2 linked regions of the Drosophila melanogaster genome follow. The protein of the gene in region 1 interacts with the protein of each later gene in a pairwise test. Each region holds a gene or a part of one and is shown on either strand. Other genes may lie near its edges. The genes, in order: Srg3 and CG15546.

What was found.
Region 2: the proteins of Srg3 (region 1) and CG15546 interact in a two-hybrid assay, tested with the Drosophila melanogaster proteins (one large-scale study listed by BioGRID).

What each region holds. Positions count from the first base shown.
Region 1 is NT_037436.4:9,441,282-9,447,200, reverse strand, and holds Srg3 (Sting-regulated gene 3), read right to left. Parts: upstream 3,970-5,919; 5' UTR 3,871-3,969; coding exon 3,837-3,870; intron 1,500-3,836; coding exon 916-1,499; 3' UTR 813-915; downstream 1-812. Other genes in the region: CG3529 (uncharacterized protein), read right to left, coding at 139-205; Nf-YA (nuclear factor Y-box A), read left to right, coding at 5,309-5,919; Bet3 (blocked early in transport 3), read left to right, coding at 5,039-5,077.
Region 2 is NT_033777.3:30,873,681-30,878,173, forward strand, and holds CG15546 (uncharacterized protein), read right to left. Parts: upstream 2,507-4,493; 5' UTR 2,455-2,506; coding exon 1,222-2,454; 3' UTR 685-1,221; downstream 1-684.

The sequences.
Region 1 (5,919 bases):
CTATCAATGTAAATGCGTAAATATCAACGCATATGCGTTGTATTTGTGGAAAATATTACGCTTTAACCACATATACACACACCCCCGCTTCCGGTGGGTGTTTTTTTTACGCTGGAGGGGGGAGGGTGGTTTACTCACCTATGCGCTGGCCAACTGGAGTGGAGAAAACATTTCCCAAGGCGCCAACGTTGAAAAATGAAGCCATCGTGGAGAAGTTTCTTATTAATGCTCGCCGTTGGGTTGCAGTGCGGTTAAAATTGTTCTTTATTTACTTTTTGTTCACCTGGATGAAATGTTTATGCACTTGTCTACAGCAGAGTGACCATGGCTGGCCTCAGCGAAAAATACCCACAAAGAAATGCATTACAATAAGTGGGTAAATAGGAATAGGTTTTTTTCCAGGGCTGCAGCATTTTATTTCATTTTATTTAAAAGAATTATCCACAGTTTTTGAGATAATGACATAGTTATACCCGTTACTCGTAGAGTAAAAGGGTTTATTAGATTCGTTGAAAAGTATGTAACAGGCAGACCATATAAAGTATATATATTCTTGATCAGGATCAGTAGCCGAGTCGATCTGGCGATGTCCGCCTGTCTGTACGTTTGAACGTCGAGATCTCAGGAACTATTTAAGCTAGAATGTTTAGATTAAGCGTGCAGATTCCAGAGACATAGACGCAGCCCAAGATTGTTGACCCATGTTTCCATGACCACTCCAACGCCCACATTAGATTGTTCTTAGTTTTATTGTTCACCTTGCACCTTGCACCTTTTGGATTGTAATCACACCCACATCTTTAAACAATTTTAATTTTTTCTCATTTTATTCGCAATCCGACTAGCTGAGTAACGGGTACCTCATAGTCATGGTTGTTCACAGAGCGTGTTATGTATCTCAAAAACTTTGTAATTTCAAAGAGTTATTTCACAATTCATTCCACAGATTTCGTGGATAATGAATTTTCGATTGTTCAACCTTGCACCTGTCTCAAAAATGAGCTTTCCGTCAGCGGTCCTTCTGACGGTACCGCTGGCGGTCCCACTGATGGTTCCGCTGATGGTCCCGTTGATAGCCCCACGGACGGTCCCCTTGACGGTTCCGCTGACGGTCCCTTCGATGGTTCCGCTGCCGGTCGTGCTGACGGCCCCGTCGACGGTCCGGCTGATGGTCCCTTCGACGGTCCCGCTGAGGGTTCCGCTGAGGATCCCGCTGAGAGTCCCACTGAATGGCATTGGAACGAACTCGTTGATGACCAATCCAATGACGGTCGCGCTGACGGTCCCGCTGACGGTAGCGCTGACGGTCTGGCTGAGGGTCCCGCTGAAGGCTCCTCTAGCGTTCCCGCTGACTTTCCCGCTGACGTTCCCGCTGACGTTCCCGCTGACGTTCGCGCTGACGCTAACGCTCCTGCTGACGGGCACGTCGTCGGTCTCGCTGTCAGTGATCTCCATGTCGACGGCCCAGATTTCCGAGGACAGTTCATAGGATTCGTCCTCTGAAAGAAGAGAACGTAGGGTATATTAGTGAGTGAGGCTTTGAGACTTATATTTTGATAGTCCCGACTTGGTTAGTCGGCTAAACTTCTCTGTTCCAAGACCCATAATCTTAAGCCCATTTAGATCTAACTATAAGTTGCATGATTCTTACAGAATATTGTGTTCTGACTATAATAGTCATTATCCTATTATCTGTAATCTTTGCTCTCTGCCGCTCTTAAAGCAATCAATCAAATCAATCGGTGCATTATTCACAAATACGACGCAAAATTTGTTTTTGGTTAGATTAAGGAATATATGAGTTAGCGGTTCCAACAGGCTGATAGGACAAATCATATGCCTCGCACGTAGGGTATAAACTGAGAAGAAACGTGTTTTTCCCCGGAATTCTTTGCGACACATACAGTTTGTCAAGAAACTGTTTACACACTGTGAAATAAGTTGAATTTTTGACTTTAAAGCTAAAAATAAAGGGTTTTTTGCTTAATTAAACGCAATTTTTTTATAAAATATAATTAAACAATATTTATTTTACTTATAAATCAAAAAACAAATTAAAAATATTAAATATACAAGAAAATAAACAACAAATTCCAAGTTTACACACTTTTGAGACTGTCAAGAAACTCTTTACACATTTTGTTTTCCTACTTTGTTTTGTTCTTTTTCTTAGAACGAACTCGATTTTTCCGTTATTTTTGGCTTTACATTGCTTTTTACAACGCTTCTATTGAAATTTGTTGACTTTGCTTGTGAAATTTTGCTGATCAAACGTGCTTAAAGCGAATTATTAAATTTAATAAAATGCCTGGAAAGAGATTAACTTTTGAAGTTACCCAATTAATAAACTATAACCACCAGTTGGGAAAATCTTTTCCAGAATTAGTATAAATGTTTCCTGTATCCCGTAAGACCGTCTACAATGTTTTAAAAGGCTCGGAAAAAGAGGGCAGGCTTGAACCTAAGAGTGGTGGTGGGCGGAAAATTAAAATTAAAAAGCGTGTAGACCGCTTTATTATGCGAATAGTGATTGCGAACCCCCGAATCTCGGTCAGATCACTTGCTCTGGATATCAGGCAAGAATGTCACCTAACTGTGTCACACGAAACTGTGCGCCAAGTCATCCTACGCCATAGGTACTCTTCAAGAGTTGCAAGGAAAAACCCTTTGCTATCAGATGCCAATATTGAAAAGCGTCATTTATTCGCTATGAGCATGATGGATCATGCGGAAGAGTACTGGGATGACGTCATATTTTGTGACAAAACAAATATGATGCTCTTTTATAACGACGGGCCAAGCAGAGTATGGCGCAAACCGTTGAGTGCGCTAGAAAAACAAAATATCATTCCAACAATAAAATTTGGAAAAATGTCACTGATGGTTTGGGGCTGTATCACCAGCCGTGGAGTGGGAAAACTAGCCTTAATTGAGAGCACAATAAATGCCGTGCAATATCTAGGAATTAAAAAAAAAAATTTGAAGGCCAGTGCAGAAAAATTTGGTCTAGTTAGCAACAACAAGCCAAATTTTATGTTTTACCAGGACATGATAAGAAACATAAAGAGTGCAATGTACGCACCTGGCGCCCTTATAACTGTGGTAAAGTGATCGATACGCCCCCTCAGAGTCCTGATCTGAACCCCATTGAAAATTTGTGGACCTACTTAAAGAAGAAGGTGGCAAAAAGGGACCTAAAACACAACAACAGCTTATGACTGTAATAGTCGAAGAGTGTGAAAAGATCCCGTTTGAATATGACCTGCAAAAACTTGTCCAATCCATGAAAAAAAGGCTTCAACTTGTAGCTAAAGCCAATGGGGAACATACTACATACCAAAACTTTTAAAATTTTAATAAAATAATTAAAAAATTTAGGTTTAAACTTCGATTTAGTGTTTTGTGTAAAGAGTTTCTTGACAGTCTCAAAAGTGTGTACACTTGGAATTTGTTGTTTATTTTCTTGTATATTTAATATTTTTAATTTGTTTTTTGATTTATAAGTAAAATAAATATTGTTTAATTATATTTTATAAAAAAATTGCGTTTAATTAAGCAAAAAACCCTTTATTTTTAGCTTTAAAGTCAAAAATTCAACTTATTTTACAGTGTGTAAACAGTTTCTTGACAAACTGTATGTATGTACACTTGCCACACTTTTTGGTGTTGTAATTATATCTTTCGGATCAGAAACCTCGCAATTTACGTGGCATTATAATTAAATATATTATTATTATTAAAATGTAACGAACATTATCCAAAATAAGATACAAATTGAAAAAAATACGGAGAACTAGAGTTCACTAAAATTATTAAAGGTTCCATAGGTTTCATACCTATGGCCCTAATATTGGAGGAAATATTTCCCATTGCGGTGGAGTTATTTATTATAGTTATTTTCACTGGTTATTTTATGTTATGGTATTTTCACTGGTGGAAGTACGGAGACTGAATGATATATGTTCTGCAGCCATGCAATATATATAAGTACAATTTATTAAATTTTTTAATCTAACATTGCTGTGGTGAGTATGGGGGTTGGGTCATAGCGTTTAGTATAAGTATTTTAAGTTAAGTACTTTTCTTGAGTGACATGGACTGGTAACATTAACATATGGCACAATATTTTAATTATTTTTACAAATAGCATTTAATTTTAAACTAGCATTAATTTCTTTTTATATTTTTGGATACCCCGTCAGAAGGACGAAAGCACCGGAAGGACAGAAGGACAGGAGTCATCGCCGGGGATAAATTGGAGTTTTGCAGCATTTAAATATAGCCGACTGTCCCACCCACTGTCCCTCCCACTGAAATCTTAATGTTGCAGATCTATTGCAGAAATCTTATTGTTAATAAAGCGGTTCATGACATGGATTGGTTGTGGTATTGGTACTAAAGAGGGCGGATCTTAAACTCCTCCCACTGTTATGTTATTATCTCAAAAACAGTGGAAAATTTTTAATGATTTTTTAATTTAATGAAATATTCCTGAAATGTCCTTAAGGTCTGAGGAGTTAAGGTTTGAGGAGGTCTAGCGTGCAAAATGTTGGGGAGCCGATTATTCTATCGCATTATTTTTTTACTTTCTTGAGCCCTATAAGTAGTACATAGATAGTTAGATCTGCCATTTTGAAACATTTTTGCATTTTTATTCTTGGGAATTTACTCCCAAATAACGTTAGCGCAAATTTATTAATTAATGTATTTATTAAATAAATTTATTATACTGATAACATATTAATATAGCAAAAAAAAATACGTTTTTGAATATATGTGCATTCTTTTTAAACTGCTGCACACATTTATTATTTTTTTGGACTCTTACAATACTTTTTCAAAAATTTTAAATATAACTGCGACTTTGAGCGATACTTTCACTTTTCCCGTGACGCCAACCGATATGCACAGCGCTTGCAGCCCTGGCCAATTTTGATGTGTTTCAGCATTGTACCCTGACAACCCTGCTCTGTAAAACTAGGAAAAACAGAAAATTTTATTTTCAATTGTTAAATATCCAAACGTAAACAGCCGGAAAATGTCACGACAAGCCTCTCGTTTGGACGCCAAGAAAGTGGTAAGTTGGCCAAAGAAGAGAGAACAGCGCAAGATCGGTATCGTTAGTCATTTGGAGGCATAGATCTAGTTGTAAGGTTAGATTTGTGCCATAGTGCCTAAGAACGAATCTTTGACGTGCCATCCACCCTCAAAATCGGCTTCATTCACTTTTCCAGTAAGTGTGTGTGTTGGGGGCTTGAGGTTGAGACACGGACACACAGACAGGCACAAGCCGACGTGCAATCAGGCAATGGAAAACCATTTCAGCGCCACCAGTCGCCCCTCAGCCACGCCCAGAATGTGCACCACCGCCTCTGCCGTCGGTGCTGCCGCCAGCGCCGCCGCCGCCGCCGGCAACAACAATAACAACAGCAATAGCAGCAGCAACAACAACGCAACAACCGGCAACAATTTAAGTGTTAGCACTGCAGCCGGAGGAGCCACAAATGCCGCAGCAACGGCACAACCCATCCAAGTGATACCAATGCCCATGCTGCCCACCGGAGCGGCGCAAATCATAATTGGCCAGCAGCCACAGGGTCAGGCGACGGCGACGGGTCTGCAGCCACAATTGATACCGCTGCAGGCCAACCAGATTATGCTGCAGGCTGCGCAGCAGCAGCCACAGATGCAGGTGATGCAGCTGCCCGATGGCCAGACTATATTCTATCAGACGCCCACCATTGCCGCCTTGGATCCGAATGCAGCGGCCAACGCCGCAGCTGCCATGGCAGCCCAGCCGACGCCGCACTACCTCAATATCAATGGGCAGCTGGTGCAGATCAATCCAGCACCGAGCGCTAATCAGGCGGCACCCACAGCTGGGCAACAGATTATAATGGTGCCGCAGACAGCGATGGC
Region 2 (4,493 bases), on another chromosome or scaffold:
GTTCAACACGCGTGACAATTGGTTGCAACGCCGCATAATGCCCCGTTTCCTTGTGAAACCGCTCGGAAACCCCACCAGTCGCGATTTAAACTGGCACTTGGACTTCAACTTGACTGCAAGCTTGGTTGGATTTCCGCTGGCTCCTAACAATGCCACCTCAATGGCTCTTTCTTTCTGAAAGTTTTGTGAAAGGAGCTAGGGGCAGGGACCTGCGAATGCCCCAGCCCCAGCCCCAAAATGGGCTGGCCAGGTGAGCTGCCCAGAGCAACGGACTTGATTGCCAGACTAGCAAATTGTTGGGAATTTCAAATGAGTCGATAAAGAAAAGCCGCGCGAAAGGGTGCCTCGAATTACATTACGGTCTATGAATTACATACTAGATCGATTCATAATATTGCCAAACAGATTACAGGCCCATCAGTGAGCTTGAGGTATGAATAAGTTTCTATTCACACAATGCACACAATGAATAGCTGCGTTGTATTCATGGCAAGCCTTTCCAAGTTCAATGTGCGCCTGCTTTCGATTACCTCGATATAAATATATAACAACTTGAACTTCACTCTCTTTCATTATTAGTTTGAAAACTGAATACCAAACGAATTGATTAAGTGCCCATGTATATTTTTCTGTGCCTATAGTAGGTTTTTAAGGCTTAATTGAATATTTCCCGATTCGAAATTTATTTGGTTATATATGTATTAGTTTATTAGCATATCTCTATCATTATAATTATAGATTTTTCTGCGTTGGCTTTAAAAGCTAAATTAATACATGATCGTGGTGCACAACAACAGCATCGCCGACAAATTAGTCAAGATCAAGGTTTGTTTATGTATGTATATTCAACCGCTCGAAAACAACAAAAAAGCCGACTCATTCATTCGCATGTGGGTGAATTCAGAGTTTGTATGGGATCGTAAAAGTAAAAACTAAAAAAAGGTTGAGCTGCTGCTGTCGCATCAACTTGCTGCTGATGTGGCTGTTGTGCTGCAGATGTTGTTGCTGCTTCTGTTGCAGTCGCTGTTGGCTTTCAATTAGCAATGCAGATTGTTGCTGTCGACTTACTACATAGAGAAATATTTGTAATACTATTTCATCCTAATGATTGTCAAGCAGATATTCTTGTATGATCTTCTTCATCGCTTCAGTTATATGTTTTTGCACTTGCATTTCTCACTGTGTAGCTGCACTAATCACTGAACACGCGAACTGGAGCCCTCAGTCCGGCAGACCCACGCTCACTCTCTGCCCCGCTGAGCTGCGACGCGCCTGCGCAGTGGGCGGCGACTGCGACGCCGTACCGCCCACCATCAAAGCGTCGCCGCTGAAGCAGAGGCTGCTGCGCAGGTGTTTGCGAGGGTCAGAGGGCACGGGGGGATCTTCGTCGATAGTGTGTGTGTTACCCACTCCGGATTGGGTCTGTGGCATTTTTGGAAAGATTTTCCTACCATTGCCGTTGGCCTGATAATTATTATTATTATTTAATGGCTTGCTCCGACTAGTTTCCATAAAAGAGCGTTGATGTTGCTGCTGCTGCTGCTGCTGGCGACTTCCTGTCGGCATATTTGGCTGCTGACGGTAGCGAGTTTCGTAGGTGGGCTCCTCACGATCCTCGCGATCCTCCCGATCATCGCGATCCACCCGATCATCGTAGTAGGCGTACTCGGCAGCCTCCTCGTTGTAGGTCACATGCTTTTTGGGCAGTCCGGGACTTCGGGTTAGTTGCAATCTTCGGACTCGACTTTCCAGATGGTCGTACGGGTCCTGATCCTGTGACGTTTGCTTCAGTATCCTTTTGGGCAGGGGCAGTGGGCGTGGCCGCCGCCACTCGGGACTGTCGTTCAGGGGTTTCTTGGTGACCTTGGGCTCCAGTTCCACGCTGAAACTGCGCACATTTCTTTTGACCTGCAGCTTGGGACTGTTCTTGGAATTCAGTTCCACTTCGCGCTTGTCATTCAAGTCCATTTGTGGTCTCCTGGCGTTATTTTGAGTTAGGTTATCTGCTTCGTTTACATAATCGTAGAACTGGATCTTGGAGCTGTAAGCCTGCTGGCGACGGCTGCTGGTGTCCTCAGCTTTGTTATCCGATTCCTGCGGTCTCACTTCGGTTAGTTTTGGGGTTATTTCTCTGCGTAGACCCCTTGCCAATGAAGGTTTATTTCCAGGATTAGACTGCAGATTATCATAGAACTGTATGGAAGAACTGGCAAACTCCTTGTGAAACATTCGCCGTGTGTCCACTTCGTCGGATACATTCTGATTGGAAGTAATCCTTTCCACAGGCCTCTCCAGCTGCTGGCTGTTTCTCCTCTTTGCTCGGGTTTCCACCGCGGAATCCGCTCGGGAATCGTCTGGCCAGAAGAAGTGCGACTCCTGGCGATTGCACACCTTCACCGCCTGGCGCTCCACCATTTTGGGCGGCAAGCCCGTGTAGAATTTTCCGTTCAGCATGGTCGCCCAATCTTCGCCGGATTGGTGGTCCACTCGACTGATCGGAGACTGGTCCGCAAACCGACTGACACAAAAAGAATCCGTCGGAGGCCGGAGAGCACATAAAATGGCTGAGATGTTGGCGTCGCCATCGGCGTTGTCATTTGTCGTAGGCGTTCAGTTTCGTTTGCTCAGGTGATCAACCAGGCCCCAGACTAATTTGCGATTCTTGCGAAAAATAACTCGAGAAGTGAGTAAAAACGAGAGTTTCTGTGTTTATAAACTTTTGGATACTCTACGAATTGGAAATATACAGCATTTAATTATATTTCCATATTCGATTTCTTCGAAAGCAAACAGTGCGCTGCATTCACTGCAGGCAGTTTGGAAAATGACACACTTGTTGGTTTTGGTTTTTAGCCTCTCGCAAGATTTTTGAAAATACATTATACCCTTTTGCAAATTCTTCGAGTGACTTATTAACAACAAACACAAACAGCATCGAGGCAAAAATTTATTTGCTGCCAGTGCAGCGTGGACGTTGGCAGCGAAGTCGACGGCGCAGCGGCAGAGACGAGTTTCCATCTAAGGTCAAACCAAATCGCGGCATTTTTCACTTTTGGAACGAAAAGTTGATTTTCGTGAGCTCAGCGTTGACCAAATGTTTTGGTTTTTACTTCGCTTTTGGCCTGTCCGTTCGGACTAAAAAGCCAGAATGCCGCCAAAGTTGGCCGACCAAGAATAATAAACGACAACAGATGCCAATTATTGGGTGCTTTAATGGCTTCAACTTCAACGTACTTTTGGCCGCAAGTGAGTGTCACTTGAATGATGCTCAGTATGGCCGACACTGCGTATACGTAACATTACATGGCTGAAAGTTGAGAGGAGCTCAATACTCTGACACAATGTCGTGAACAATGCACTTTGAAAAGGAAAAGCGAAACACCAGTAAAACATACCAGTGTTTATTTAATTAAATTAAATTTATTTTCTCTTGATCTTTACATGGTTTGCCATTGGAATGGAGTGGGGAGATGTGTGGGGAGCTTTGCTGATGGACACTACTACTGCTACTTATGTTTTGCTTCCATTAATTCATTTTATTTGGTTTACCTCCCAGGCTGCGTTTTAGTCGAAGACGTATTTGGAGTACGTAATAAGCTTAATGTACAAACAATGCCATAGAAACACATACAATATCATACACGTTCGGTTTGCATACGGGTCTATGTGGGGATACTACTCTGGAGGGTCTGAAATTGCGAAACGGCGAAGTGGCATATCTATATATCTCAGTGTGGTGGCTGCTCATGTAGATGGGTACCATATACGTTCTGCGGGGGGATATGTTAGGTTGCTTAGACTACGTTTGATTTTGAGTTGACATCGCTGACACGGGGATCTATGCTTTATAACCTGACATTTACAAACTTTGTTTTTTTCTTTGTTTTTAGTTTTTAGTTTTGCTGGGTAGTGTTGTTAAACATATACTTAGGGTTGCTCTCGGCTGCTTAAGACTTTATTTACAATTCGTATTTATAGCTGATTGGCCAGTCAGTTAGCCTTTCTCTTCGATGGTGCTTACTGCTGCTGCTGTTGCTGTTGCGGCTGCTGCTGCTGCTGCTGGGGGGGCAGCAGTTGCATCGGCGACATTACTATTATGTTGGTGGCTCCTCCGGCTGCGTGGCCATAGTCCAGCGGCTTCTGCATCGCCTCCACATCCAGATCCGGGGCACGGGTAATCACGCAGTACTGGTTCCCATTGTACGTGACAATGGGCATGCCGTGCTGCATGTTGCTGGCGTGCTCGCTCAGCTGGGCCTGCATATACGTGGCGGCCGTCGGCGAATTGGCAATGATGTGCGACACCGGCACCGACACCTGGATTTGCAGGGAAAAGGGGTAAACGGAAGGGTAACAGAATACAGAATGCGGAAATGGTGAGTTTTTTTTTTTGGTGTTCAATGTTGCTGTTGGCTGTTGGTGTTGCTGTGGTTTCAGTTCATTTGGTCTGTTTAATAGGTAGTTACTTCTTGGCTTTGGTTGTTGCCGTTGTG